7 linked regions of the Ovis aries genome follow. The protein of the gene in region 1 purifies or fractionates together with the protein of each later gene. This does not show direct contact. Links are inferred from orthologs where the notes say so. Each region holds a gene or a part of one and is shown on either strand. Other genes may lie near its edges. The genes, in order: CHD4, ADNP2, UBTF, ZC3H18, ZFHX3, PARP1 and ZNF512B.

Evidence for each region.
Region 2: the proteins of CHD4 (region 1) and ADNP2 purify together in Homo sapiens (affinity purification with mass spectrometry; 3 studies listed by BioGRID and IntAct, with this or other methods). This does not show direct contact. The link is inferred for Ovis aries from reciprocal best matches to the Homo sapiens genes CHD4 and ADNP2.
Region 3: the proteins of CHD4 (region 1) and UBTF purify together in Homo sapiens (affinity purification with mass spectrometry, with the first as the bait; 3 studies listed by BioGRID). This does not show direct contact. The link is inferred for Ovis aries from reciprocal best matches to the Homo sapiens genes CHD4 and UBTF.
Region 4: the proteins of CHD4 (region 1) and ZC3H18 purify together in Homo sapiens (affinity purification with mass spectrometry; 3 studies listed by BioGRID). This does not show direct contact. The link is inferred for Ovis aries from reciprocal best matches to the Homo sapiens genes CHD4 and ZC3H18.
Region 5: the proteins of CHD4 (region 1) and ZFHX3 purify together in Homo sapiens (affinity purification with mass spectrometry, with the first as the bait; 3 studies listed by BioGRID). This does not show direct contact. The link is inferred for Ovis aries from reciprocal best matches to the Homo sapiens genes CHD4 and ZFHX3.
Region 6: the proteins of CHD4 (region 1) and PARP1 purify together in Homo sapiens (affinity purification with mass spectrometry; 4 studies listed by BioGRID and IntAct, with this or other methods). This does not show direct contact. The link is inferred for Ovis aries from reciprocal best matches to the Homo sapiens genes CHD4 and PARP1.
Region 7: the proteins of CHD4 (region 1) and ZNF512B purify together in Homo sapiens (affinity purification with mass spectrometry; 4 studies listed by BioGRID and IntAct, with this or other methods). This does not show direct contact. The link is inferred for Ovis aries from reciprocal best matches to the Homo sapiens genes CHD4 and ZNF512B.

The regions. Positions count from the first base shown.
Region 1 is NC_056056.1:209,658,248-209,661,747, forward strand, and holds part of CHD4 (chromodomain-helicase-DNA-binding protein 4), read left to right. Parts: intron 1-418; coding exon 419-546; intron 547-826; coding exon 827-962; intron 963-1,106; coding exon 1,107-1,285; intron 1,286-1,442; coding exon 1,443-1,682; intron 1,683-3,500. UniProt on the Homo sapiens protein: ATP-dependent chromatin-remodeling factor that binds and distorts nucleosomal DNA. Acts as a component of the histone deacetylase NuRD complex which participates in the remodeling of chromatin.
Region 2 is NC_056076.1:643,766-648,039, forward strand, and holds the start of ADNP2 (activity-dependent neuroprotector homeobox protein 2), read right to left. Parts: upstream 2,801-4,274; 5' UTR 2,667-2,800; intron 1-2,666. UniProt on the Homo sapiens protein: May be involved in transcriptional regulation. May play a role in neuronal function; perhaps involved in protection of brain tissues from oxidative stress. May be involved in erythroid differentiation.
Region 3 is NC_056064.1:43,773,890-43,777,853, reverse strand, and holds the start of UBTF (nucleolar transcription factor 1), read left to right. Parts: upstream 1-1,164; 5' UTR 1,165-1,417; intron 1,418-1,999; exon of another isoform or gene 2,000-2,103; intron 2,104-2,293; exon of another isoform or gene 2,294-3,964. UniProt on the Homo sapiens protein: Recognizes the ribosomal RNA gene promoter and activates transcription mediated by RNA polymerase I (Pol I) through cooperative interactions with the transcription factor SL1/TIF-IB complex.
Region 4 is NC_056067.1:13,386,982-13,390,481, reverse strand, and holds part of ZC3H18 (zinc finger CCCH domain-containing protein 18), read right to left. Parts: coding exon 3,242-3,500; intron 1-3,241.
Region 5 is NC_056067.1:37,912,013-37,915,512, reverse strand, and holds part of ZFHX3 (zinc finger homeobox protein 3), read right to left. Parts: coding exon 2,318-3,500; intron 641-2,317; exon of another isoform or gene 539-640; intron 1-538.
Region 6 is NC_056065.1:28,693,606-28,697,105, reverse strand, and holds part of PARP1 (poly [ADP-ribose] polymerase 1), read left to right. Parts: intron 1-2,673; coding exon 2,674-2,839; intron 2,840-3,500. UniProt on the Homo sapiens protein: Poly-ADP-ribosyltransferase that mediates poly-ADP-ribosylation of proteins and plays a key role in DNA repair.
Region 7 is NC_056066.1:53,582,371-53,585,870, reverse strand, and holds part of ZNF512B (zinc finger protein 512B), read right to left. Parts: intron 3,439-3,500; coding exon 2,762-3,438; intron 2,659-2,761; coding exon 2,432-2,658; intron 2,318-2,431; coding exon 2,246-2,317; intron 2,151-2,245; coding exon 2,004-2,150; intron 1,841-2,003; coding exon 1,716-1,840; intron 1,645-1,715; coding exon 1,552-1,644; intron 1,357-1,551; coding exon 1,258-1,356; intron 1,178-1,257; coding exon 1,007-1,177; intron 815-1,006; coding exon 620-814; intron 476-619; coding exon 374-475; intron 93-373; coding exon 30-92; intron 1-29. UniProt on the Homo sapiens protein: Involved in transcriptional regulation by repressing gene expression. Associates with the nucleosome remodeling and histone deacetylase (NuRD) complex, which promotes transcriptional repression by histone deacetylation and nucleosome remodeling.

The sequences.
Region 1 (3,500 bases):
CAAAAACTGTTACAGCCTGGCTGGGAAGTTCGATTCATCCACCCTGTTCATCAGACACTGCACCTTCAGATTTCCATTTATTTTTATCTTTATAAAATTCTGTTAATGTAAAAAAGTTCAGTTCCCTGCAAGACTGTAAAAGGCACCTGGAACAGTTCTTTGCTCAAAAAGATAAGTTTTGGGAACACAGGATTATGAAGTTGCCAGAAAAATGGCAGAAGGTAGTGGAACAAAATGATGGATACATTGTGTAATAAAGTTCTCCAACGTGAAAAATGTGTCTTACATTTACTTAAAAAGGCACTTTTTGGCCAACCCAGTGGAAATACTTTGGGTGGTGAATATTTTCTTTTCCCCACGTTCTGCTCTGTTATGGATGTTTGGACTGCATGATCTCACTTGCTTTCTCCTGATTTAGGTCCCAATGCTCGGAGGAAGCCTAAGGGTAGCCCTCGTGTCCCCGACGCCAAGAAGCCTAAACCCAAGAAAGTAGCTCCCCTGAAAATCAAGCTGGGAGGTTTTGGTTCTAAGAGGAAAAGATCCTCGGTGAGAGCCCAGCCTGTCCCTGTCCCCTGGTGATGGTGCCTTAGCCCGTGGAGAGGATGGTGTCTTAGTTCAGGATTTCACCTTTCACGGTGGTTGCTGAAGTATGTGGGGAGTTGGTCATAGAACAGGACTCTAGGCTCACTGTGTAAGTCCTTGCCGTAATTGCAGTGCCCCAAGTGAAGAGCAATTCCCTTGTCTCCCTTCCCTTGCCTCCCTTCTCCACCACTCTCTTCTTCCCCTTGGCCTGAATCTTGAGTCGTATTTCTTCTCGCCCCATTAGAGTGAGGACGATGACTTAGATGTGGAGTCTGACTTCGACGACGCCAGTATCAATAGCTATTCTGTTTCTGATGGTTCTACTAGCCGCAGTAGCCGCAGTCGCAAGAAACTGCGGACCACAAAAAAGAAAAAGAAAGGTGTGCTGCTTTTCTGTATCAATATGTGACGGGCTGAGGGGAATGACTGGGGAGGCATCTCCCTAAGGAGATGGGGCCTGGGCTTCAGGGGTGGGGGGAGGTGGTCGTTTTCTAATAACTGGGCTTTCCCTCTTCCTTGCCCAGGCGAGGAGGAGGTGACTGCTGTGGATGGTTATGAGACAGACCACCAGGACTATTGTGAGGTGTGCCAGCAAGGCGGAGAGATCATCCTGTGTGACACGTGTCCCCGCGCATACCACATGGTCTGCTTGGACCCGGACATGGAGAAGGCACCCGAGGGCAAGTGGAGCTGCCCACACTGCGTGAGTGCCTGGCTTTGAGGGCAAGGGCTTGGGCGGGGGGAGACACGCTGGTGCTGCTGGCTGTGGGCTTTGGGATGCTCTTGGAGGAATGCTGGGCGTGGTCCAACTAGGTGGGTGGGGGGTGGTTGTAACCTGACTCTGTGGTCCTCAACTTCAGGAGAAGGAAGGCATCCAGTGGGAGGCAAAGGAGGACAATTCGGAGGGCGAGGAGATCCTGGAGGAGGTTGGGGGAGACCCCGAGGAAGAGGATGATCACCACATGGAGTTCTGTCGGGTCTGCAAGGATGGCGGGGAGCTGCTCTGCTGTGACACCTGTCCTTCCTCCTACCACATCCACTGCCTAAACCCCCCCCTCCCAGAGATTCCCAATGGTGAATGGCTGTGTCCCCGCTGCACGGTGAGTGCCTGGCCCCAACTGCGCCAAGGGTTCACCCCTCTTCCATGTGGGCATCTCCAGGCTGAGGTGCAGGAGAGACTGCTGGAGATCTGGAGGCCTTTGAGCCCCGGAACCGGAGTTTTCCTTCCTTTGTGGTCCTGGGATGCCTTTCTCTTGGGAAACTATAGGACTGACTTCCAACAGAGCTGATGCTTTGCCTGTTGTCCCAAGTGGGATGTCACCCAGGACATCCTTTCTTGTCTTGACACCAACCTCGAGGTCTTGGTAGCTCAGTCATATAACGGCCACTTACTGCTGTTACTAGGTTGGTGCAAAAGTAAATGAGGTTTAGCACTGTTGAACTTTGCCATTTGATAATTGGAATACATTCTTAAATGTGGTTTGTGTTATATATACATCATTTTAATGGATATTTCTTGGTTTATGTCTTTTCTAACAACTAGTTATTTTATGTGTATTTTAAGCTGTGGAAATGATGTTAGACAAAAAGCAAATTCAGTCAATTTTCTTATTTGAGTTCAAAATGGGTCATAAAGCAGTGGAGAAAACTCTCAATATCAACAGCACATTTGGCCCAGGAACTGCTAATGAATGTACAGTTCAATAGTGGTTTAAGAAGTCTGGCAAAGGAGATGAGAACTTTGAAGATGAGCGTAGTGGCCAATCATGGGACGTTGACAGTTGAGAGTAATCATCGAAGCTCATCCTCTTAAAACTACGTAAGAATTTGCTGAAGAACTCAACATCAACCATTCTATGGTGGTTCAGCATTTGAAGCAAATTGGAAAGGTTTTGAAGTGTCGTCATATCTTATTCTATGCAACAATGACAAACCATTTCTCAATCAGACTGTGATATGCAACGAAAAGTGTATTTTATGCAATAACTGGCAACAACCAGCTCAGTGGTTGGACTGAGAAAACGCTCCAAAGCATCTGCCAAGCCAAATTTGCACCAAAAAAAGGTCGTGGTCACTGGTGGTCTCCTGCCGGTCTGATCCACTACAGCTTTCTGTATCCCAGTGAAACCATCACATTTTGGAAGTGTGCTCTGCAGATTGTTGAGATGCACTGAAAGCTACAGTGCCTGCAGCCAGCATTGGTCAATGAAAGTGTGTTAGTTGCTCAGTAGTATCCGACTCTTTGCAACCCCATGAACTATAGCCCACCAGGCTCGTCTGTCCGTGGGATTTCCCGGGCAAGAATGCTGGAGTGGGTAGCCATTTCCTTCTCCTGGGGATGTTCCCGACCCAGGGATCGAAGCCCAGTCTCCTGCATTGCAGGGAGATTCTTTATTGTCTGAGTTACCAGACCTACAGCAGTGAAAGGGTTCGATTCTTCTCCATGACAGCACTCAACCATACATGACACAATCAACGCTTCAATCAAAAAGTTGATGTCCAATCAATGTTGAACATCGTGTGGTGATCACACAATGTTCAATCAAAAAGTTGGACAAATTGGGCTACAAAATTTTGCTGCATCTGCCATATTCACCTGACCTCTATGTCTGTTTCTCCCGACTACTGCTACTTCAAGAAGCTTAACAATTTTTTGCAGGGAGAATGCTTCCACAACCAGCATGATGTGGAAAATGCTTTCCAAGAATTCATTGAATCGCGAAGCCTGGATTTTTACGCCACAGGAATAAACTTATTTCTCATTGGCAAAAATGTGTTTATTGTGTTAGTCCCTATTTTGGTTGATAAAACTGTGTTTGAGCCTAGTTATAATGATTAAATTTAAATGTTAAATTTTACAGTCCAAAACTGCAATTATGTTTACACCAATCTAATAGATTAAACGAGGAAATCTGGGC
Region 2 (4,274 bases), on another chromosome or scaffold:
TTAGCAAGTTACTTAATCCCAGGGACTGTTTCTTCTGTAAAACAGGGACTGCACAACCGACTCAGTAGTTTTGAGGAAGAAAATTCACTTAACACAATAAAAGCACTTAGAACATAAGACTGTGAGTTTGCTATTATCTAACTCCAAAAACTTAAAATGCAACATCCAAAAAACTAGGATCATGGCATTCTGTGGAAGCAGTCACAGATTTTATTTTCTTCAGCTCCAAAACCACTGCTGACAGTGACTGCCGCCATGAAATTAAAAGACGCTTGCTCCTTGGAAAGAAAGCTATGACAAAACTAGACAGTATTAAAAAGACATCACTTTGCCGACAAAGGTCTGTATAGTCAAAGCTATTATTTTTCCAGTAGTCATGTACACATGTCAGAGCTGGACCATAAAGAAAGCTGAGCACCTAAGAATTGATGCTTTTGAATTGTGATGCTGGAGAAGACTCTTTAGAGTCCCTTGGACTGAGAGATCAAACCAGTCCATCCTAAAGGAAATCAACCCTGAATATGCACCAGAAGGATTGATGCTGAAGCTCCAATACTTTAGCCACCTGATGCGGCCTCGCTGGAAAAAACGCTGATGCCACAGAAAGACTGAATCCAAAAGAAGAGGGTGGCAGAGAATGAGATGGTTATAGATAGCATCACTGACTCAATGGACTGAATCTGAGCAATCTCTGGGAGATATTGGGAGGACAGAGGAGACTGGAATCCTGTAGTCCTGGTGGGGGGAGGGGAGGTGGTGTTGGCAGTCAGACAGGACTTAATGACTGAACAAGCTCCAAAAAATATAAGCGAAATGCTAAAACTACTCGAATACAGGGTTTTGTTGTTTCTTTTTAAGTAAAACTTTTAAAACACATGATATTTATACAATACATGAAAGCAAGAATCAAAGGTCTGGGTTCAAATACAGGAAGATTCCTTCTCTGACAGGCACCTTCAGCAAGTCCTCATGATTCAGTGTCCTCCTTGTAACACACTGCCAACAGGTCTGTGATAACCAGAGTGGCAGCCACAGCAGAATACTGGGGTGTGATCACTCAAAGTGACTACAACCATAAATTCACCAGAAACATATTGCAAACTTGGATCAAATTAAAAAGGTGTCCCAGATATCTTCATATAGATAGGTATCTTCCCTGGTAGCACACATGGTAAAGAATCTGGGTTCCATCCTCGGGTGGAAGATCCCCTGGAGAAGGGAATGGCTACCCACTCCAGCATTCTTGCCTGGAGTATTCCATGGACAGAGGAGCCTGGCGGGCTACAGTCCACGGCGTCACAGAGTCGGACACGACTTTCACTCACTCACTACTGGAGAGGAAGGTAGAGTGGTTACAAGAATTTTGTGTGTGTGTGTCTGAGCTGCTCAGTCGTGTGACTTTTTGCGACCCCATGGACTACAGCCCACCACGCTTCTCTGTCCATGGAATTCTTCAGGCAATACGGAGTAAGTTGCCATTTCCTTCCCCATCCTCTCCCGACACCAATCTTCAACTCCTAACCCTAAAACCAGCTCTCACATCCTTACCACTGCTCAGTCAGACGAGTGAGCCTGTCTCCTCCCAACTCCAGTCCCCCTCCAGACTAGCACCAGTACCCTTACGACACACAGATCGGTCACTTCCATGTCTAAAGGCCACTATCTCAACAAACTCCCAATTACAACGAGAATATTAAAGTTCGTTCATAACATGGCTACCTACTCAGTAACAAGTTACACATATTTGTAAACATGTATGTCTAAACAAGTTACACATACATTACTTGACTTCCAACCAAAGCCCAACAGCGCTCTCCTCAACTCGCACTTTTTACGTGGTCCTCTCCCCCAGAGCGCTCCTCCCGACTCCCGGTCCCACGTGCGTGCTGAGCCCTGAGGGGCTCGCCGGTGCCCTCAAGCACTTGCCCATCTGCATCATAAATCACCACACACAAGAGTCCTCCAGGTCTCAAGAGGCTGCCATTACCCATTCCATTCAATTATAAACAGTTTTAAGAGCATTCCGGCAAGCCTCCCATTCAAATTCAAAGAAAATACTTTAAACGTTTAATTATTTAGCAACTGTTCAGTTAGAACTAGCGGCTACTATTTTCGACGTTCCCAAGCCAAGAGTCAGGAGAAATTCTGCGCGCTCTACGTAAGCGCGGTGAGCGGCGGCATGTGAAAAGTTCAACTGTAATGTCAACATCTGCACATCATCAGTATTCACACTGAGAACTCCAGGGTGAAGGAATTGGGGCTCCTCTCAGCTGTGCGCTCAAGAAAAAACCCGCCACAACGCAGGCAGCTGAGCGCGCTTCAGCCCGGCCCGCGTCCGCGCTCGCTCCGGGCGGCCCTCCGGCTCCCAGCCCGCCCCCTTCCCCGGCCCTCCACGGCCGCCGCCCTGTCCCCGCGTTCCCCTCGCCCAGATGCCGTCCCCCGCCCCGCCTCCCGGGCCCCATCCCCGCCCCCCTCGACCCCGGCCCCACGTGACGCGGAGGGACGACGGGCACCCTTCGGGCCGCGAGCCCCGGGCTGGCAGAACGTCGCGGGATTCGAGAGGCGGCCACCGGCCGCCGGGTGTGGGCGGGGTGGGGCGGGGCCGCCGCCGGGACTTCGCAGGCCGGGCCAGGGGCGTCGCCGCGGGCCGGGCCGGGGTTACCTACCGCTGGGCGCCCGCAGCGCCGCCGCGTCCCTCGCACGTCTCGCCGCGCCCGCTGGGGCCCCGCGCCCGCCCGCCTCCGCCCCGCGCGGCGGGACCCCCGCTCGGCGCGCGCCACCCCGCGCGACCCCGTCCCCTCCTCCCAGCTCGGCCAGAAAGAGAAAATGGCGCTCGATTGGCCTCCGGAAGTGACGCGCACCCTCATTTGCATGCCGATGCAGTCAACCAATGGGAGAAGAGCATGCATGGGACCCCCCACTGGGCACTGTCCCAAAGGCCCCTTTGGGCCCCTGCCTTAAGCTGAACTGGAGGCTCAGCAGTGGGAATGGGGTTTTGTGTTGAAGCCCCCTCCCCTGACCCCACTCTTGCTACAGTGAACTGGCCTGCTAGCCTCTCACCATATCTACAAACTCTCGTGAGAGTTTGAGGTGATGGCGTCACTAGAGGGGGCGGAGCCCGTGCGTCGTCCTTCACGTGACCAATCACGTGGGTTTCCTAGACCTTGGTCTTCATTTGCATGAGGTGGGGTGGAGCTAGTGGCAGTAGCAGGAATAGGTGGCCCCGCCCACATCTCAGAGCCAATGGGAAACCAGCTGTCAGGGGAATCCTGCCCTATCATTGGAGGATAGAACTTGAACTATCAGAACTTTGACAAGGATGCTCTTGGTACATCTTGGTGAACTGACTGGATAGGGTCTCCTGACTTCGTAATTATATCCTAAGGAAATTAATTTCACACTTTTTCTTGAGAATTCGTATTTTTAAGTTAGAGCTACTACGTGCTGTGTAGGAAAAAAGTTAATTGCATACATTTATAAAAATTCTTAAATGGCTTGAAAGTTCACTTTTGCCCAGCTTTGTAAAAAAAAATGTGAAGGGATAATATATTTCTCAAAATGAATGTACCATAACGTGAATGGAGCTTTCAAAATGCCTATGGGTCTTCAACTGTTGAGTAAAGTGCCCAAGGGGTAAGAATAGAACCGCATTGCCCTCTGGGAACTTGAAGTTTAACGGGGAAGCCTGCTGTGCAGGCAAACAACTTTTTTACTTTATCGCTCCTCAGTGACTACTCCAGCCTTTCTCCCTTCACTGAAGCTGCCAAGCCATTACCTGCCCCTCCTCAACTTACTTTTCAGCACAAGACCATGTCTACTTCCAGAACACCAAGACCACCAAAAATGGTCTCCATCTATCTACTCCGGCCCCACGTGCACACGTTTTCCTCAGCACGGTCCTGATCAGAGTATGCGTCGGTTCACGCTCAGGACCAGTCCCTTCATTCCTGGGCCTTGTTTGCCCTGCCCGGCACCTCATTGCCCAGACATTCAGTTCAGTTCAGTCGCTCAGTTGTGTCCGACTCTTTGCGACCCCATGAACCCCAGCATGCCAGGCCTCCCTGTTCATCACCAACTCCCGAAGCCTAGTCAAACTCATATCCATTGAGTCAGTGATGCCATCCAACCTTCTTATCGTCTGTCATCCCCTTTTCCTCCCACCTTCAATCTTTCCCAGAATCAGGGTCTTTTCAAATGAGTCAGTTCTTCGCATCAGACCGAAGTGTTGGAGTTTCAGCTTCGACAGTCCTTCCAATGAGTATTCAGGACTGATT
Region 3 (3,964 bases), on another chromosome or scaffold:
CTGGAAACCTGGGACTTCTGACTCCAAACCCTTTGATGTTTCGAAGTCAAAACAAGAAAGTCATTCCCTGCAGGTTCTAAGTTGGAGAAGGAAATGGCAACCCACTCCAGTATTCTTGCCTGGAGAATCCCAGAGTCGGAGGAGCCTGGTGGGCTGCCGTCTGTGGGGTCACGCAGAGTCGGACACGACTGAAGCGACTTAGCAGCAGCAGCAGCAGGTTCTAAGTACAGCGTGACATGGCTTGGTCCTTCACAAAATGCCCTCTGTAAGTTCCAAGGGCAGAACTGGGTTTGTGGGGAGGGGGAGGGGCGAGTAAAAAATAATACCAAATGATGAATCAAAAGTAAAGAGATAGCCTGCGATGAGGGCCCTGAAGCTTAAGCTTCACTAGCATCAAGGTAAATTGGCCCCGCCTACCCACTAAAAAATTCGGACACACCAGATCTTGACAAGATTTTCCTCCCGGTTTGTGAAACGTGGCAGATGTGGGCTGTGGAAGTCCTGGGAAAGGACTCTCAGTTCTCCCAGGGGACAAGATAAATTACAGCAACAGCGAGGCCGTGGTGTGGGGATGGAGAAGGCTGTGTGACAGGGGAAGAGTCCAAAGGGGCCGGCGGCCCAGCTGGCAGTGCCGCTGTGGTAGGCTGGCATCCCTAGAGCCGGGGGCGATGGCGCCGCCCCGGAGCGATGGCCCAAACCGTAGGCTCGCCTGATGGAAGCAAGCGTTCTTCAGACCGTCTTCTGGCTTCCTGCGTCCAGATGAACCTTTCTCGGTGGAGGAGAGGCAGAGACAGACAACCGCAGCCGACGGCAGTGGGAGGGTAGATGGTGGTCGCGCCTAGGCCTTTCTATCTCCGGCCCGCAGGATGGTGGAGAGCGGAGGCCTACGGGAAGGCTGCCCCGCTGGGGCTCTGGCGGCGAGGCCGGGGTGCCAGGCTCCCCTCGCGGCTCCCCGCCGCCGCCGGGGGGAGGAGGGGCAGGGGGAGCAGAGCCCGCGGCCTGCTTTCCCAGGGCTGGCCAAGCCTTTTTGACAAGCTGATAGCGTGCCGGGGATTGGCTGGTCCGGGCGTGACGCCGGTTAACAACAAAGGTGGAGTTGGAAGAAATTAGATTAAAGGAGGGGGGGGGGGGTTTGGAAATTAAAGGGGGAGCAGGCTGGAGACTGGAGGCAGAGACCGAAGGGGAGATGCGCGAAGCGCGGTCTCGCGGCTCCGCTTCGCCCCGGAATCCCCTTCGCCTAAACCCACCGGGATTTTTGCTCTCAACCGACTCCCGCGGCCCAGCTACCGAAGCAGGGGTGGGACGGATGGTTGCTGCTTCTTGAAAAATGCCCCCAACTCTCACCCTGACACCCCTTTACTATGGCCCAAGGGGAGAACTCTTTGCTCGGACTCCTCGGATCCTAAACTCGGAGGAGGTGAGGGGCATTGAGAATAGCGAGAGGTTCGCTCTAAAACCCGGAAGGCCCTCGCGGGGCACCGAGAACGGACGAGGCGGGGCACTCCCCCGGTTTTCCAATGTGTTGCAAACCTAAGAGCTTTTCTTGCTTGCTTTTTTTTTTTTTTTTTGGTAACACCCTTCCCCCCCTTTTCTCTCCCCCCCACCCTGCTTTGGCTCCAGGGTTGCAAAAGCAAAGAGCAATAAAAAAAAAAAAAAAAAAAGAAAGAAACCCGCGCATACACTCAGACACACACCAGTGGCGACAGGGGAGAGTTGGAAAGACGCAGGAGAGAAGCAGGAGGCAGCGGGGAGGGAGCAATGGGAGCGGGAAGCCGGCAGGTTCCCTCGCAAATCCCCCTCCGGCCCAACGTCGCCTCGCCGGCCCCGGCAGGGGAGCGAGGAGCCGGGCGAGCAGATGGAGGAGTGGAGCTCGCTCTAGGCAGCAGGCTTGGCCGGAGAATGGAGGAGCCGCCAAGCGATCGGCTGATTGGAAGAGAAACGCAGAGCGATGGAGGCGGGGGTAGGAGGACGATTTCTCTGCGGGGACTGGCGGCGGCGTATACGCCCGGGTCGGGCGCTGCAGAGCTTGGCTAGCTTTCAACCCGCGCTCGCCGGCTCCAGCCCCACGCGCCCCCACCCCCAGCCCTCCCGGCGGCTCCGCAGGTGAGTGCGAGCTGGGGGCAAAAAGACTCGAAAGTCTCAACACGCCCGCCCTGCCAAAAGGAGGAAAAAAAAAGAAAAGCATTTTTCCTTTTCTTTTTTTTTATTTTCGTGCAGCCCCCAGCACGGTGGGAGGGAAGGGGTGAGGCTGAGTCGCCCGGAGGAGGCGGAGGGGCCAGGCGAGGCCGGGGTGGCCCGGGAGGCGGCGGCGCCGAGGCGGCTCTGACGGGCTAGCGCTCGGAGCGGCGCTGCGCTGCGCCGAGGCGGGCGGGCGGGCGGGCGGAGCGGGGCGGGCGGAGCGCGGCGCGTGGGGCTCGCCATTAGCCGTCGCTCCGCTTCGCCATCTCGGGCTTTGTCTGGCGGCTTGCTGCCCCGGCGTCGGCTGCGGCGGAGCTGCGGCTCAGCTCTTCGGCCCGCCGCACCCTTAAGGCGCCCTTGGCCCGTGCTCCCATTCACACGCTCGGTAAGTGAGCCCCGGCGCCGCGGATTTCGGGGGAGAGGGGTTTCTACGAGTGGCGGCGGCGCCGATCTCCATGCGCCCGGGCAGGCCTGGGGAGCCATGCCGGGCTGGATTGAACCAGCTCCCACAGAGGCTCCTCCGCCGACTCGTAGCTTTATCGCCGCTTGTGGGATTTAAAGAGCAAAGAAGATTTTTTTTTTCTGTTTTAATTTGCAAAGAGGACATTTTTTAGGGATTTTTTTTTTTTTCAAGTTTCGTGTGTGTGCTGCTTAGCAGCGAGGCAGGCTCCGAAGCCTGGCACGGCGATTGGCTTGCGTGCGCCCCAAGCCGGTGGCTACGCTCCGGGGATAAGGGTGGGCGCGAAATGCCCGCTCCGGGAGGCGGGCGAGTGAGCGGGTGAGGGCTGGAGTGGAAGCCCGAATCTGAGCTGGGGGAGAGAGCTCTGGAGCTGGGCTGCAAACACCCCCGGAGCCTCTCCAGCTGCCGGGGGGCCCTCCGGCACCCTCTCTGCGGTCGCGCCTCGCGCCCTCCCTCCTGCGCCGGCCGAGCCTGCTAGTTCCCCCGCGGGTCTGGCGAGGTCGCTCTCGGCGCCCGCCCGCCTCGGCTCCGAGCCCCGCCGCCATCCGGGCGGCTGCGTGTCTCCCTGCCCCGACCCCCCCCCCCCCTCCCCGGCGGCAGCAGCAGCCGCCGCCGCCGCCACCACCACCACCACCACCAGCACTACCCCCCTCCCCTCCTTCCTTCCCTCCGCCTCGGCCGCCCGGGTCCCCCCAGCTCCCGCCCCTCCTCCCAGCTGCCCCCCGCGGAGCCCGCCCGGGCAGGCTGTGGGAGGGAGCGGAGCCGGCGAGGCGGGCGGGCTGGCGCTCGCTCCCCGGGGGTCGGTGTGCGCTCTACGGGGAAGGACGCGCTCGCTGCCCCGCTTCTCCCGCCCCCCCTCCCGCTCCTCCTCCTCCCTTCTCCCTCCTCCTCCCCGCTCCGGCGGCGGAGGCTGCGGCGGCGGCGGGGGGTGTGCGAGCTGAGGCCGGGGCCGGCGGGCGGGCGGCGGGCGGGCTGCCTGCAGGCGGAGGGCGCTGTGCTTTGTGCTTTTCGCCGCGAGGAGCAGCAGGCAGCAGCCACAGCCGCAGCCGCCGCCGCCACAGCAGCAGCCGCCGCCCCAGCGCCGCCGCCGCCGCGCCCGGAGGAGGAGCCGCTGCCGCCGCGGGAGGGAGCTGCGGCTGTGCCCGGCCGAGCGGGGGAGGGCGCCGCCGATCAGAGCCGGGGAGGGAGCCGCCGGAGCGGGAAGCCCGGAGGCCGCGCTGCGCCGGGTAACCGAGGCGGCTGAGGACGCGCGCCGGGTCGGGGCCGGGGCCAGGCGGCGGGGAGCGAGCCGTGGGTGCGGTGGACGCCTGGAGACCCGGGGCGAGT
Region 4 (3,500 bases), on another chromosome or scaffold:
AACAGGTTCCAGCATGTTGGGCGCTGGCTGGAAGGCAGCCTTCCTACCCCAGAGCTTCTGGGCTGCTCGGCTAAGCAAGCACAGTGGTCCAGCCCCGACTAGCCAAGCAGAGGGAGGTGGGAGGCCTGATTGAATGCCTTGGGGCCAGGCCTCCGCGGCTTCTCCGCCTCCCACCAGAGGGCAGTGCTGCGAATGCCCCAGATTTCTAAGCCCCTAAATCCTTTGGTACAAGATGCTGTGTGTCCAGACATGAAAGGAGCAGGCAGATGTGAGCCTGAGAAAAGACAAAGCCCGTATGCAAAGAAAAGGCTTCAGAGCTGTATTCATCCCTGGCTGGGCCAGGAGCCATCACTTCTGCCTGAGCAGCAGTGTGGACAGTCCACTCAGGGTGCAGGCCCTGTCCCACCGTCTCCGAGCAGCCACCCTACCAGTGCAACAGTCATTGACCAAAGCCAGGAAGGAACAGAATACTCCGCCCCTTCCCAAGTGGATGACACACACCAGGTGCCAAAGTTTTGTTAACCAGATGACATGCGAGACATAAAAACAGAACCAAGTCAAAAAGCGGAGGAGACGATGGAAGGGCCAAAGATGGAAGGACTGGAGTCTGCAAAGGCAAGTCACAGACCCTGGAGGGAGGAGGCTCTGTGCAGGACCACACAAGGCACACACGGCCGCTCGTGCCATTCGGCTGTCTGAGCTGCCAGCACAGGTGAGACCACTGACTAAGTCAAGTTCACCCATGCTTCAGCTGTCACTTGGCGGGGACCCTCGGCCCCCTCCACAAATAAGCTAGATGCTATAAATAGCTGGCCCACAATCATGTTTGCAAAATCCCCTCCCACTGCAGCAGGGAAGTGGCACTTCCAGAAGGGCACTGGTATCTGAAGGTAGCTCACCAAAATACGTACAAGTCATTCAAGGCCTGAGTTATAAACCACGTGGTTCAAACAGAAGAATGTCAAAGGTTCGTTGTACAAACTGATGTCACTACCAAGGAAACCACCAAGAAAGTGGAAAAGCTGGGGAGAGGGAGCTTACTCCTGCCAAACGAACTGACCTGTCCCAGTGACCCAAAGCCTACAAAGGAAAAAAGCAGGTCAGTGTACCCCAACAGAGAAAAGCACTTCTCAGTTCAAAGAAGGGTAAATCACTTGTGTTCTTGGAGGTGAGGGTGCTAAAGAGCAACAAGAACACACACACTGACGACCCAGTCAGTTCAGACTGTGGAATCACAGCAAAAGCACCAAGCTTGACACGCCAGAAAGGGGCAGAGCCCACAGAAAGGGCGTAACATCTAAGCAGGTGATCAAAGAATGGGGAGGAGCCTGGAATGCAGGCAGCTGGGCACACGTGAACCAGAGGGGCTCCCATGAGGGCCTGAGTCTCCATTCATAGGGCGAGCCCTGTCCAGGCCTGCCTGTCTGGAGGGGCGACAGGCTCTGCTCTGCCTGGTCACGCCCCTGCGTGTCACAACGAGCCCAGCACACTGCGGGGCCCGTGGGGGTGCCTGTGGACGGACACGCCACCCTGTGGCTGAATGAAGCGGGGCCTGGGCCCAGGGGGGCTCTGGGGCCCTCTTTAGAGGCCAGGCAGGTACAAGTCAAATAAACAACCATCTAGGGTCAAGTGGGCAAGAAAGTCAACCTGGATGTCTACTTCTCACGTTGTTTCTGAAGAAATCAGCTATCTCCAAACAACAGGTGTTTTCCTGGGCCAGCTCAGGTCAACGCCATGTCCTAGGCCACGACATCTAACTCAGTGCAGGTGGGAGAGCCCCCAGGACCTGTGGGGAGATATCTGACTGCATGTGAGCATGGAAAGGCTGAGAAGTCGATGAACTTGCCCTACGGACCATTCACAGCTGAAGCAAGAAGAGCTTGCACCTCGTCCTTTCTTAAAGGGGGAGGACTGCCCAGACCCGCTGGCCGCACGTCCCGTCACTAACAGCCCCATGTCCTACGGGCAGGACACTGACTCAGCTTTTCTTTTTGTAAACTGAGAGACCAAACTAATGGGCAACCTCAATCAATGATTTCGTCTTCTGCCCCAAATGTCATCCAAACTGATTAACTGGAGTCTCATGGCATCTCTTTTGCCTCTGGCAACCCTCTGGTTGAGAATTTCCCAAATTGCAAGGGAAGCTCAGATGGCAGAACCTAAGAATGCTCACAGACAATGTCCCGACAACACCTTTGTAAGTACACTAACAAGCAGTGGCTACTGGCTTAGGAGACCATCTGCTACGCTTAGTTGCGAGAAGACAAAAGATCTAAGCTTGTAACTGCACACATGAGCTTGTAATGCCCCACAAAGTTCTGTTCTCATGAAGTTCGAGAAGCAGTACCAGGCACAACCATGGCCCCAAGATGCGGCATACGTACTAGCTGCCAGAGAAGCCAGCGTGTCAGGGAAATCCAACTCACACACTTAACCAACAACCCCCTCCTTCGGCGATCCAGAGCATTTCTGGGAGCTATTCCTCACACCCCTCCCCTCAGTGCCTCTCCCATGAGCAGAATCCCCTTCCTGGGATATTAAAACTCCAGGTCCTGTCAATCTGCTCTGTCTGTCTCTCCCCTCCTTTGAGTAAAAGCATTTATCAGCAGGACTTCAGATTCTTCCCTCCCCAAAATTCAACCTCTTAAAAGATGGCGAAGGAAGTTCTTGCATCAGGATTATCTATCATAAATCCCAACTGCCCACAACTAAGACAATTATTACCAGATACCTTCTCCTTAACCTGAAAGGCCAGATTAATAAAGTTAAAAGAATGTGATGGTCAAAAGTCAAAGTGCTCTGACACACAATCCCATTTTCTGCAGTCCCAAGGAGACACTTCCAAGGAAGCTTGGCCTAGAGAAGACCCTCAGCAGAAGACAAAGAGAAAAATGGCCAAAATAATGGACAAAACTGGAAGGAAGTTTCCTCAGTCTCGAGAATGTAACAGGAATTGAAATCCACAATGGTTCTAGTTGAACACTAACTCAAATAGTACTTAAACACAGGGAAAAAAAAAAAAAAGGCACAAAAAAAAATGCTTAAAAAAAAAAAATCCAAAGTTTTAACACAATCCAACCAACAGCACCAGACAGATGAGTGAGGGTCTGTGGAACTTCTGCCAGCTGCCGACTCCAGGCCAGGCTAGTCTCCATGCCTTCAGTGCCCCCTCAGCACCAGGTCAACGGCCCCAGCGCCAGCCCCCCGACCCCTCCTCAGGGCGCCCACCGCGCCTACTCACATCAATCTCCCCGTCGTCGATCTCCCCGTCATCATCCTCTTTCCTCTTCTCCTTGGCAGCCTCCGGGGGCTCCTTGTCCTCCACGGTGCGGACCCCCGCCTTCCCCTCCTCCCCAGGAGCCCCCTCTCCACGCTCATCATCATCCTCAGGCCCGGCCTTCTCAGCGTCGTCCTCCTGCGCGCCAGGGGCCGGCTCCTCGGGCACCTCCTCATCGTAATCTAGCTCGTGCTCATCCAGGTCCCTGGTGACCGACGAGGCC
Region 5 (3,500 bases), on another chromosome or scaffold:
TAAGGTAGCACAAACAAGGCAGGGACAGACCAGATAATGAATTCCACACTCCGGACATGGCTCTGTCTACTTCGAGGCAAAAGGCTTGCTCTAGGTTTTAGGTTGGAGCTGCAGCCAGAGCCAGGGGTTCAGCAGGGCGGAGAAGAAATGCCTCCTGATTGCCCCATCCCTATGGCGTCAGGCTCCCAGAGAAGAACTGATAGGACAAAAGAGGTTCCATTTTAAGGAACATGTACTGAACCTCTGCTATTTACCAGGCTCTGCACTAGGTGTGTTCACTCAGTAAAGCAGCTTAGTACATTCTCACAGTAACCCTGTGGCTTTGGTTTTCTCATCTGTAAGGTCAGAACCACGCGAGGCGTACACTCCTGGAGTGGCTGAGGCATCTCCTGATGCGGTGTGGACTGTGGCTGACACGTCTGCCATGTGATGCTTGGAAGCTTGGCTTTCCACAGTAGATGGGTGTGGGGAGGAAATGGAAGGTCACGGGAAGAGCTTACCATTGGGCCTGACATACTCCTTTCTTTCCTAATTCCAGATGCAGTACTCCTGGGAGCTGTGGTTCAGTCGGTGGTGGTAACTGGGGCATGCCTGGCTGCCTTGAATGATTAAGAGCCTATCTTCCTACCTGGAGTCCACTGTAAGTGATCAGAACCTGAGGAGCACTAAGCATATACCCGTTGACTGACTGGCTTTATACTGGGTGCTGTGGAAGGAGTACAGTGCATCGCACTGGGAGCCTGGAGGCCTGGGCGGGAGCTCTGGCTCCTGCCCTAGCTTGCTGAATGGTCTTGACCTCTCTGGGCCTCAGTTTTCTCATCTGTAAAACAAGGGGAACAGATCAGACATTCTAATTCTTTCTCATTACTATGAAATGTTGGGCCTTCCCAAGCCCCTCTGCCGAGGTCCCAGGCTGCGGAAGTAGCTCAGTACTCAGCCACTTCCCGTCGCCTGTTTCCTGGCGACTCTATTTAGCTGACTCTTATTATCATTCTGTGATACTACTCGTCAACACAGGTAAGCAGCGACTTCTATATCTGAATGCTTTCTTCTCTTAGGATAAGAAAGTGGGATTTGGAATGAGGTAGCTTCATGTCCTGTAAAACCACTGCCAAAGTTATAAAACTTGGATTTAATTCAACCAGAAAGCAGGGAAGCAGCTGAGTCGCTAGAGCCCCTGGGAACTGGGACATTTCGAAGATAAGGAGGCACACTGAAGGGCTCTGCTTTAGTGAATGTGCACTGGTCAATGTAGGCTGTGGGGGACTTACTAACTCGTGCTAAGCCTCACAGGATCCTTCCTAGAGGGGTGAGGGTCCAATTTAGGAAAGACAGCTGGATCCAGAGAAGACAGGTGAAGAACGAGGAGGAGGAGGAGGAACAAGAGAGGCACACAGGAAGAACTGTGGAACTCCCTATGAGGTAGAAAAATGAGTACCAAGTGTGTGACTCTGCATTAGAAAGGGAAATGGGCAGAAGGAAATGAAGAGGTGATTGAACACCCCTAAAAATAAACATTTTCAGTTTAGATGACTATAAAACACGTCATAATTCAGAACCACATTGCACAATACAAGTTCCTGGTCAGTGCATTCCAGTATAGAGGTAGTCTAATTAGAAACTAGAGGGTGGTCCAGTGGTTAAGACTCCATGCTTCCACTGCAGGGTGTGTGGGTTCAATCCCTAGACAGGGAACTAAGATCCCACATGCTACAGCCAAAACCCCAGACTAACACACCACTGTGTTTCTGAATCAAAGGGAACCCCAGGAGTAAGGCTCCAGCTTGTGAGAGCTACTTCCTGGTAGCATCTCTCCTGCCAGAACAGGTCTCTGAAACAGGAGGCGGGACCTCAGGGAACAGCAAAGAGTTTATTTAAATTCTTTTGCACCTGTATCCAGAGGGCACAACCCAGAATTAGCTAAGATGTTCAAATGTTTTATATTTTCAATAGATTTCTAGATGGGATCTGCATTTCCACAAAGACTGAATGGAAGGGTCCATAATGGAAACTGCTGTCTCAAAAACACCCCAGGATCTAGTACACCAGAACCCTCCAGTTCATGCCCACAGCATACACCCTGGTCTGTGCTGAACACCAGGCAGAAGTATGGTTTCAGGAGATGGTTCCAACTCCAGGGTCCCCATTCTTGGACTGGGAAGTGGAGGATCATGTACATCACAGCTCTCGGGAGACTCAATGGAAGGGACCTGAAATTCTATTGCAGTTAGAGAACTAGGAATGTGGAGCCTCCCAGCACTCAGGTTTTGTGTGGTGGCTCTTTACTACTGGGAGAATCACTGAGAGCAGAACCCACCTGTGTTGGATGGAGTGAAGCCTGGCAGGGAAGGGCTGTTGAGGCCGGGGAGCAACACAGGAGGAATGCCCTGGAGCGCTGGGTATGCCGTAGGAAGGTTGAGAGCCTGCAGAGGGGCGTTGTCGAACATCCCTTGCTGCTGAGCTGCCAGTCCAAGGACCTCATTGGCCTTTTTAATCCGGTCCAGCTCTTGTTGAGCCATCAGCTGACGAACAGTGGCTGGGTCAAAGTACTCTTTCTCCTTGTCCAGCTGGCTTCCAATGGTGTCTTTAACTTTGGAGATATGCTGTTGGGAAAAGATATGGTCACGTACAGACAGCCGAGCGCTGTACTTGATGCCACACAAAGTGCACTCTGTTTTGGGTCCCTCGTAACTCGTTTGGTTTATACCAAAATGCTTGGCCATGCTTAACTTGGACTTCTTTTCTTTTGCCCGGGCATTCTGGAACCAGACCTGAACAACTCTCTTTGGCAGTCCAATGTCATTGCCCAGGACTTCACACTCCAGCATGGTGGGTGTCCGGTAGTCATTGAAGCATGACTTGAGGACCTTCAGCTGCAGATTGGTCATTTGAGTGCGAAAACGTTTCTGCCCGGGCCGATCCCCACTGTCTCCAGATTTGCCTGCTGACCCACTCACACCAGGGCTTGGAGAGCAGGGGTCTGCAAGGCTTGAGGTTTCACTGTAGTCCACGGTACCTTCATTGTCATATTCCTTGCTGTAAAAGCTGGGAGCTGGGCTGACCAGGCCAGATGACAGCCGATCTTCATACTCGGACATTGCCATCATGGCCGCTTTGGTCAGCCCTTCACTGGGCGCAGAAGAGGATTTGGTTTCAGTTGCTATTCCCGTCGCACTATCGTTATCTGCATTGCCCTCGTCTCCAGTAGTGGTATCTGTGATCGCTGTATTGACTGAGGAACAGTCATCGTTGTCCAGCTTAGTCTGGTCAAAGTTTAGATTAACAGAGGACATGGAGGGGCTTTCAAAATCTTCTATGCCTTCCACCTTGATGGAAGAAGGACTCAGAAGAGTCCTGGGAGACAACTCCATGGTTTTGCTCACAGGTGAGAGGGGAACACCTTGGCCATCACTACTACTTGGGGGTAGGTGGGAAAAGCTAGTTCCATCAAAAATATCTCCCTTCATCTGCAGTCCCCCATCACAGTCTAACAGCATTGC
Region 6 (3,500 bases), on another chromosome or scaffold:
ATTTAATGCTTTAAAGTTTGTGGTGAAGGACAGGGAAGCCTGGCGTGCTGCAGTCCATGGGGTCGCAAAGAGTTGGACTGAGCGACTTGTAGATTACTGTATCCCAGTCAACTTTTTAAATGTTTTCATAATTATTTTAATACCATTGACTTCCTTTGTGAACTTACACATTTTATTGTGCATTTTAAAATGTTAGTCTGAGAAAGGGACATCCATAGGCTTCACTGGACAGTCAGAGAGGACCCTGTTCTATTGGGACGTGGGTGAGGAGTAAAGAGGCTGGTTGGCTCTAGTCCAGGCAGTTCCACCAAGTGAGTAATCACTTTCTAAACTAAATAAAGTGTAACATTCTGGGCTCTCCTGCTTACTTGTTAGTGAAGGAAATTTTGTTATTAAAATTAAGTATGATTTTTCTCTAATGGTAATTGAGGGTGGAGTTTACACAAATGTTTTGTAGGTCCTTTAGGCTGAGCTGGTGAAGGCCAGAAAAAAGAAGCCTTTCTTCCCCCACCCCTCCTTTGGATTTAAATACCTTCTTTTACATTTGTGTGGGAGGATTGTTCTTGGAGTATCAAATACCTGATACTTTAGCTGGCAGGCCCTGGGGCAGCTTGGAGGGGAATGCACCCGACCTTGGTGTTCTTGGGAGGGCCTGCAGGAAAGGCCTGCTGCCTTTCTTCCTTTCTTCGTGGTAACAGTTGCTTTGCACTCTCTGGGGTAGGCTGGCCCTGGTGTGGCCTCTTTTTTATAGCCCATTTCTCAGGAAGCAGCCTGAGAGTGGCTCGGTAAGGACCCTGGTACGTGGTGGGCACTTATGTTTGCTGAGTCTACAGCCAAGAATTCTGCTCCTTACTGGAGCCCCGCGACTGCCTGGTGAGGCAATAGTCTTGTGACCTTAGCCTGGTTACTTTCTTGCCATCTCATCCTGTCCTGAGTTCTTAAGTATAAAGCTTTGCACAGATCAAGGGTTCTTTCCTCTGGAGGGAGACCAGTGGCCTCAGCAGTCCTGGAGTTTGTGCCATGAGTATACCCTGGTGGAGGCTTTTCATGTTTGGCACTGTGCCGGTGGCTGGGGACACAGCACTCAGGCCAGAGTTAAAGGAGCACGTATGGGGGCCTCAGAGAGCCAGGAAGAAATCGTGGCCATAGGTTCCAGTGAGGGGTGGGCAGAGCCATGAGTCAGGGGCCCCCTCTCTGCACTTAAAGGAGGCTTAAAGAGGGGCTCCAGGGCAGGCAGAGCCAGGTCAAGGCCACTGCAGATGCTGTAACAAGACGCCCAGGCGTTTAAGGATATGTTGGCTGCCTTGGTGAACGTTTGAGAGCCAGGACACGAGTCTGTTCTCTGAAATGACATTTGTTGACTGGTTGTGGATGGAAGGGCTGTCTCGGAGTAAGCATCTTTCCCACAGCAGGAGCTCCTCCATCCTTCCTTTCTTCCTCTTCCCTCCAGACCTGGGGCACCCCACAAATGTTCTGAGTGCCTGCCGTGACTGTGCTGGCAAGACAGGCATTGCATGGCGCCTCTCTGGCAGCTCCTGACCCGACGCAGGGCACAGGCCTTGATCAAATAATAACCCAAATGAATCTTAACTCTGGGGAGCTATGGGAAGGGGCATCTGTCATGGGACATGAGGAAGTGCTGTTGGCTCTGGTTAGAGCTGGGGAGCCCAGGGGACAGCCATTGCCGCTGTAAACCCACGCTGCGCAACCCTGCGTCCTTGTGCCCCAGCCGTTAACCCTGTATTGTATTCAATGCTGTCTATAAAACCCAGAGAGAGGCTGCTCACCTAGTAGGAGAGGGCCAGTTGGGAGAGCTTGTCCCTGCTTTTCCTTAGCACTTTCTGTGTCCGCATGACTCCATCCTAAACGTTCTGCTGGGTGTTTATTTTTAACGCTGTTTTATGCCATCTGCTTGACATTTAGATTTCTGTCCTATCAAAGCAGATGTTTGGCACCTTCAGTCAGAAGAACCGTTTGTGTATTTTTAAGTACCTCTTCCTGCCGAGCGACGTAGAGCAGCGTAGTGGAAAGAACCGGGGCTGAATCACCTGCTGCATGTCTGACCGCACCCCCATGAGACTGTGAAATGAGGGTGCTGGTTCCTCAGAGACAGCTGTGGGGTGGCCCATGGTGGGTGGTGGGCAGCAGGGTCCCTCCAGCCCCTGGGGGTGGGGTGCCGCCCTGCCGGTCCCTTTCAGTCTCCCTCATGGAAGTCCTTCATTCCGTGCACATCTGCCTGGCTGCTGCCGGCAGGCCACTTCTCTGACACATCTGCTCAGCCTGGCGCTCATCGGGGACTCATTCCCCGCTGTCCTAGGTGCATGGAGCCCTGGGGGCCACGCGGGCCCTGGCGGTGGTCCGCTGGGGGGGGGGGGGCGCCAGAAAGCAGGACGGGCACCTCCTATGCCCTCGCCAAGCTCTGAGCTGAGTTTGCGACGGAAACGCAGTGGCAAGTTTGGTAACCGCGCTCAGGGCTGAACGCTAAGCTGAAGTGCCGGTCAACCCCACGGGATGGCCTGGTGCCTGTCCCAGGGCAGGCAAGGCAGCTTCCTCAGCTGAGGGGTGGGTGCCGTCCTCTGTTGACAGATAAGCAAGGGGGTTGGGGATGTCTGGTGCTGAGGCCCGCGCCTGAGGCTCACAGCTCTTTTTCCACCTCTGATTCCGCCCTTCTAGTCGCCCATGTTCGATGGGAAAATCCCACACTGGCACCACCTCTCCTGCTTCTGGAAGGTCGGCCACTCCATCTGGCACCCTGATGTTGAGGTGGAGGGGTTCTCTGAGCTCCGCTGGGATGACCAGCAGAAGATCAAGAAGATGGCCGAGACTGGAGGAGCGACAGGTGTGTGCCCAGCGGGGAGGTGCGGGGGTCGCCCCAACCCTGGAGCTTCCTGGGCAGGGGCCTGCTCTGTGAGAGCAAAGAGTAGGTCCTTCAGCTCACTCTCCCGTTACTCCAGCAGCATCCCAATGACCCAGAGTTGTCCTGTTGGTACAGGATATGTTAACTTCTAGATGCTTGAAATGTAGCCTTTAAATTTGCTGTGGTGGTTATCTTACTAGACCCTCTTTTAGAGTGGTTTCAGGTTCACAGCACAATTAAGCAAAAAGTATGGAAAGTGGAGAGTTTCCACAGAGGCGTGACCTCTTCCACCTTCAGCTTCTCCCAGCAGCTGAAGTTACGTTGACACATCAGTTCACCCAAAGTCCAGAGTTTATATCAGCCTTCAGTCGTGGTGGTGTACATCTTTCCTGTAAGGGTTTGGGCAAATGTATAATGACATATCCATCATTATAACGTCATTCAGAGTATTTCCATTGCTCTATAAAATTCCTCTGCATTCTACCGGTTCATCCCTCCATCTCCCAACCCCTGGCAACCACTGATGTTTTTCCTATATCCATAGTTTCATCCTTTCTAGAATATTGTGTCGTTAGAATCACACAGTATGTAACCTTTTCAAATTGGCTTATCTCACTCAGTAATATACATTTAAGTTTCCTGC
Region 7 (3,500 bases), on another chromosome or scaffold:
ACGGCTGAGGGGAGGGCCTGGGCACTGACCTTGCTGCAGCTGGCCAGGTGGGCCTTGAGGCCGGACACGCTGGAGTAGATGGCTTCACAGCACTGGGGGTGGGAGGTAACCGTGGGGACAGGCTCTCCAGCAGGAGCCCACTGACCACCATGCACCCCTTGCCCAGCCCAGGGGATCTGGGGCCCATCTGAGGCAGGTGGGTGGGTGTGATCCCAGAAGTCAGAGGGTGTGGCAGGCTGAGCTGCTAGGGCTGAGGTCAAGGCCTCTCTGCCTATGAAACTCGGGCCACATGGAAGTCTCCCCCCAAGGCCAGCCCTGGGCCCTCTGTTCTGAGTCCCAGAGCTCCCACGCCTGCCCAGACTGCCCAGCTCACATCGTTGGGGCAGTTGACGTGGCCTTTCTCCTTGACCTCGTTCTTCCATGCCTCCAGCAGCTCGGGGTTCAGCACAGGAAGGCCTGGCCGCGTGTAGTTGAGCTACAGACACAGCAGTTGACAGGGTAAGCTGGAGGTGACCCAGACATTCCCCTCCATGGATGGGAGGTCTGCACCCAGGAGGCGGGCGGACTGCCCAGGTTTCTCCCAGGGGCCTTACACTCAGAGACAGGGAGGAGGGCTCACCCGTGCGGTCTCGGGTACCAGGTCATCCTTCATCCGCCGCTTGGTCCAGTCTCGGGCCAGCTCGTCCTCTGCGATCTCCTGCAGGTGGAACACAGCGACCTGGGCCGACGTGCGGCGGATACGGCCGCTGGGAGTCCGCTCCACACCCAGCGGGTCCTCAGCCTCAGGGGCCTTGTCAGAGGGCTCCTCAGGGGGCTGTGGAGGGGAGGCTGGGTGAGCTGGTGAGCCACATGGCATGTGCCACACAGAGAACACAGGAGAAAGCAGGCTGGGGGCACAGGCGCCCATCACAGATTCATTCCCCCGACACACCAGTCCCCCAGGAGGGAAGAGGGAGCCCACAGGGCAGGGGCCTGAGGAACGAGCACCCAGGCTGTGGCTACTCACCGGGGCTGTGTGCTCTGAGCGCACGTGGTAGTCATGGCCTGCTTTGGAGCGGTAGGGCTTGCCACAGTGGGTGCAGGGGAAGGACGGGGTTTCCACTTCGCAGGGCGGCTTTCCACAGCGTCGCTGATGGTACTGGTAGCCCATGAGACTAGAGAAGGCGGCCCCGCAGCCCTGGGGTTCCAGGGGGCAGGTGAGTGTGGTAAGCAGCCAGGCCACATCCACCTGGCGTCCACACCTGCAGGCCCACTCACCTCTTGGGGGCAGCGCAATCGGCCCATCTGCTTCAGCACCTTCCGCAGCCGCTCCCGCTCCTCCTGCTCGTTCCCCTCCGAGGCCTCGGCATCAGAGGGCTGAGGGGCAGGCCAGCCTCAGTGCCCCCGCCACCACGGGGCCCGCCCCTGCCCGGGGCCACGGATGTCCCTAGTCAGGCACGGGAGCCACTAAGCTGTGCTAGTGAGAGGCCAGTGGTCAGAGCCAGGCAGGTAGGGGGAAGGAGACCCGCGGCCAGTGGGCAGCATGGATGGCAGCTGGGCCCGAGGGGATACCTTGGTGCTGTGCTCAGCCATGGTGTGGTAGTTGAGGCCGGCCTTGGACTTGAACTGCTTCCGGCAGTGCTGACACTTCAGTGCATCCTGCAGCTGCAGACGGGCATGTTAGTGAGAGGTCGGTCCTGGGGTGCCTCCCCTCCCGAGCCAGGGGGCAGCCCTACCTTCTGACACACTTCCATGTGCTTCTTAAGCCCCACGAGGGTCTTGCGGGTGACCACATTGCAGGTGGGGCAGACAGCCTCCCCCCGTTCGTGGATGGCCCGTTGCCACTGCTCCTCAGGGCCACCTGCAGGGCAAGGCCAGGGACTCAGGTGAGGGGCAGGAGCTCCCAGATGACCGTAACGCCAAGCACAGAACCCAAAGCCCACACTCAGTCCCCGTCCCCATGGTTCAGGATCTGCCTCCGTCATCAAGACTTGGCCTGTGCCTTGCCACTCAGCAGCCCCTACCTGAGGCTTGGTGGGTCATAGGAGCTGGCACCTCCTTGTTGACAGCGCTGGTGGGGGCTGGCCCCTTTTTCCGTGTGTCTTCAGGGCCCGGGCCCTCCTGTTTCTTGGCCCTATGGATGCGGGCTTTGTCTTCTGCCTTGGCCAGCCCTGTGCAAACAGGCAGGGAAGGTAGGTGTCAGCTGAGGGTGTGGCCACAGCGTGTGTCTGGCCCTTGAGGGTGCCTGGCTTAGTCTAGGCCTCACCTTTGAGTCCAAAAGTCCCTGAGATGGACGGCTGCTCACCCGTAAACTTCTTGGGTGTTTTCTGTTTCCTTCCTGACTCAGGAGAGAGAAAACAGAGGCCAAGACTCTGGTTAAATAACCATTGGTAAGCTCAGGCCGGCTCATTGCTGGCCTCACCCTGGCTGCTGCCTCCCAATCCCATCTTACTGTGCTTTATGCGCTCTGCACCCTCCTCAGGCGGGGACCCGGGGCCTGGAGCCCTTGGCACCTCCTTGCCCCCTGAGGGTCTGCTGCCCAGAGAAAGGGGGCTGCTGCTGGGGTCTGTGCTCAGCTGGAAGGCCGAGCTCTGCTCTGGGGTGGCTGGGCCGTACTCTCCGTTCTCTGGCCTCGCATGCTTGGGTGGGATGGGGCAGGCGTCCAGGCCATCCGCAGTCCTACAGGGAGCAGGGAGTAAAGACAGGAGGACCCGCTCTGGGCCCTGTTACCCCTGGACTGCCCTAAGGACACCCAGTCCCAACCAGGCAGGAGCCCCCATACCTTTTCTTACCGCTGCTCCTCCCTGCAGCCCGAGGAGCTTTGTTCTCAGACTTGGTCAGCAGAACCACCTTGCAGGGTGGCGTGTGTCTGCTGATGGCAATGGGCCTGCTGACCGTCACTGGCTTACTGACCACGATGGGTCTGCTGACTGTCACTGGCTTCGCAACTGGCACAGGTTTTGTAACTGTTACAAGCTTTGTCATCGGCACTGACTTGTTGATAGTCACTGGTTTGGTGACTGGCACTGGTTTGTTGACTGTCACTGGCTTGGCAATTGGTACAGATTTGGTGACTGGTATAGGTTTGTTGACTGGTATGGGCCTAGTGACCGGGACAGCTTTAGTGACTGGCACGGGCCTGCTGATCGTCACTGGTTTGGTGACTGGCACGGGTCGGCTGACTGTCACTGGTTTGGAGACTGGCACAGGCCGGCTGACTGTCACTGGCTTGCTGATGCCAATGGGCTTGCTGATAGTGACAGGTTTGCTTACTCCAATGGGCTTGCTAACCCCAACCGGCCGACTGACAGTGACTGGCCGGCTGACTGGCCCAGGCTTGGGGGCAGGCAGGGGTCGGTCCATATGGTTCCAAATCCGGTGCTTCTCCAGCTGGGTCTTGGAGGTGAATGCAGCCTCACAGAAGGGGCAAGGAAAGGTCAGCCTTTCTGAGATGGCACCCTGGGTGGAGAGGGCAGATATGGACACTCCCAAGCCAACAGCCAGGGTAGGGTGGGCCCCAG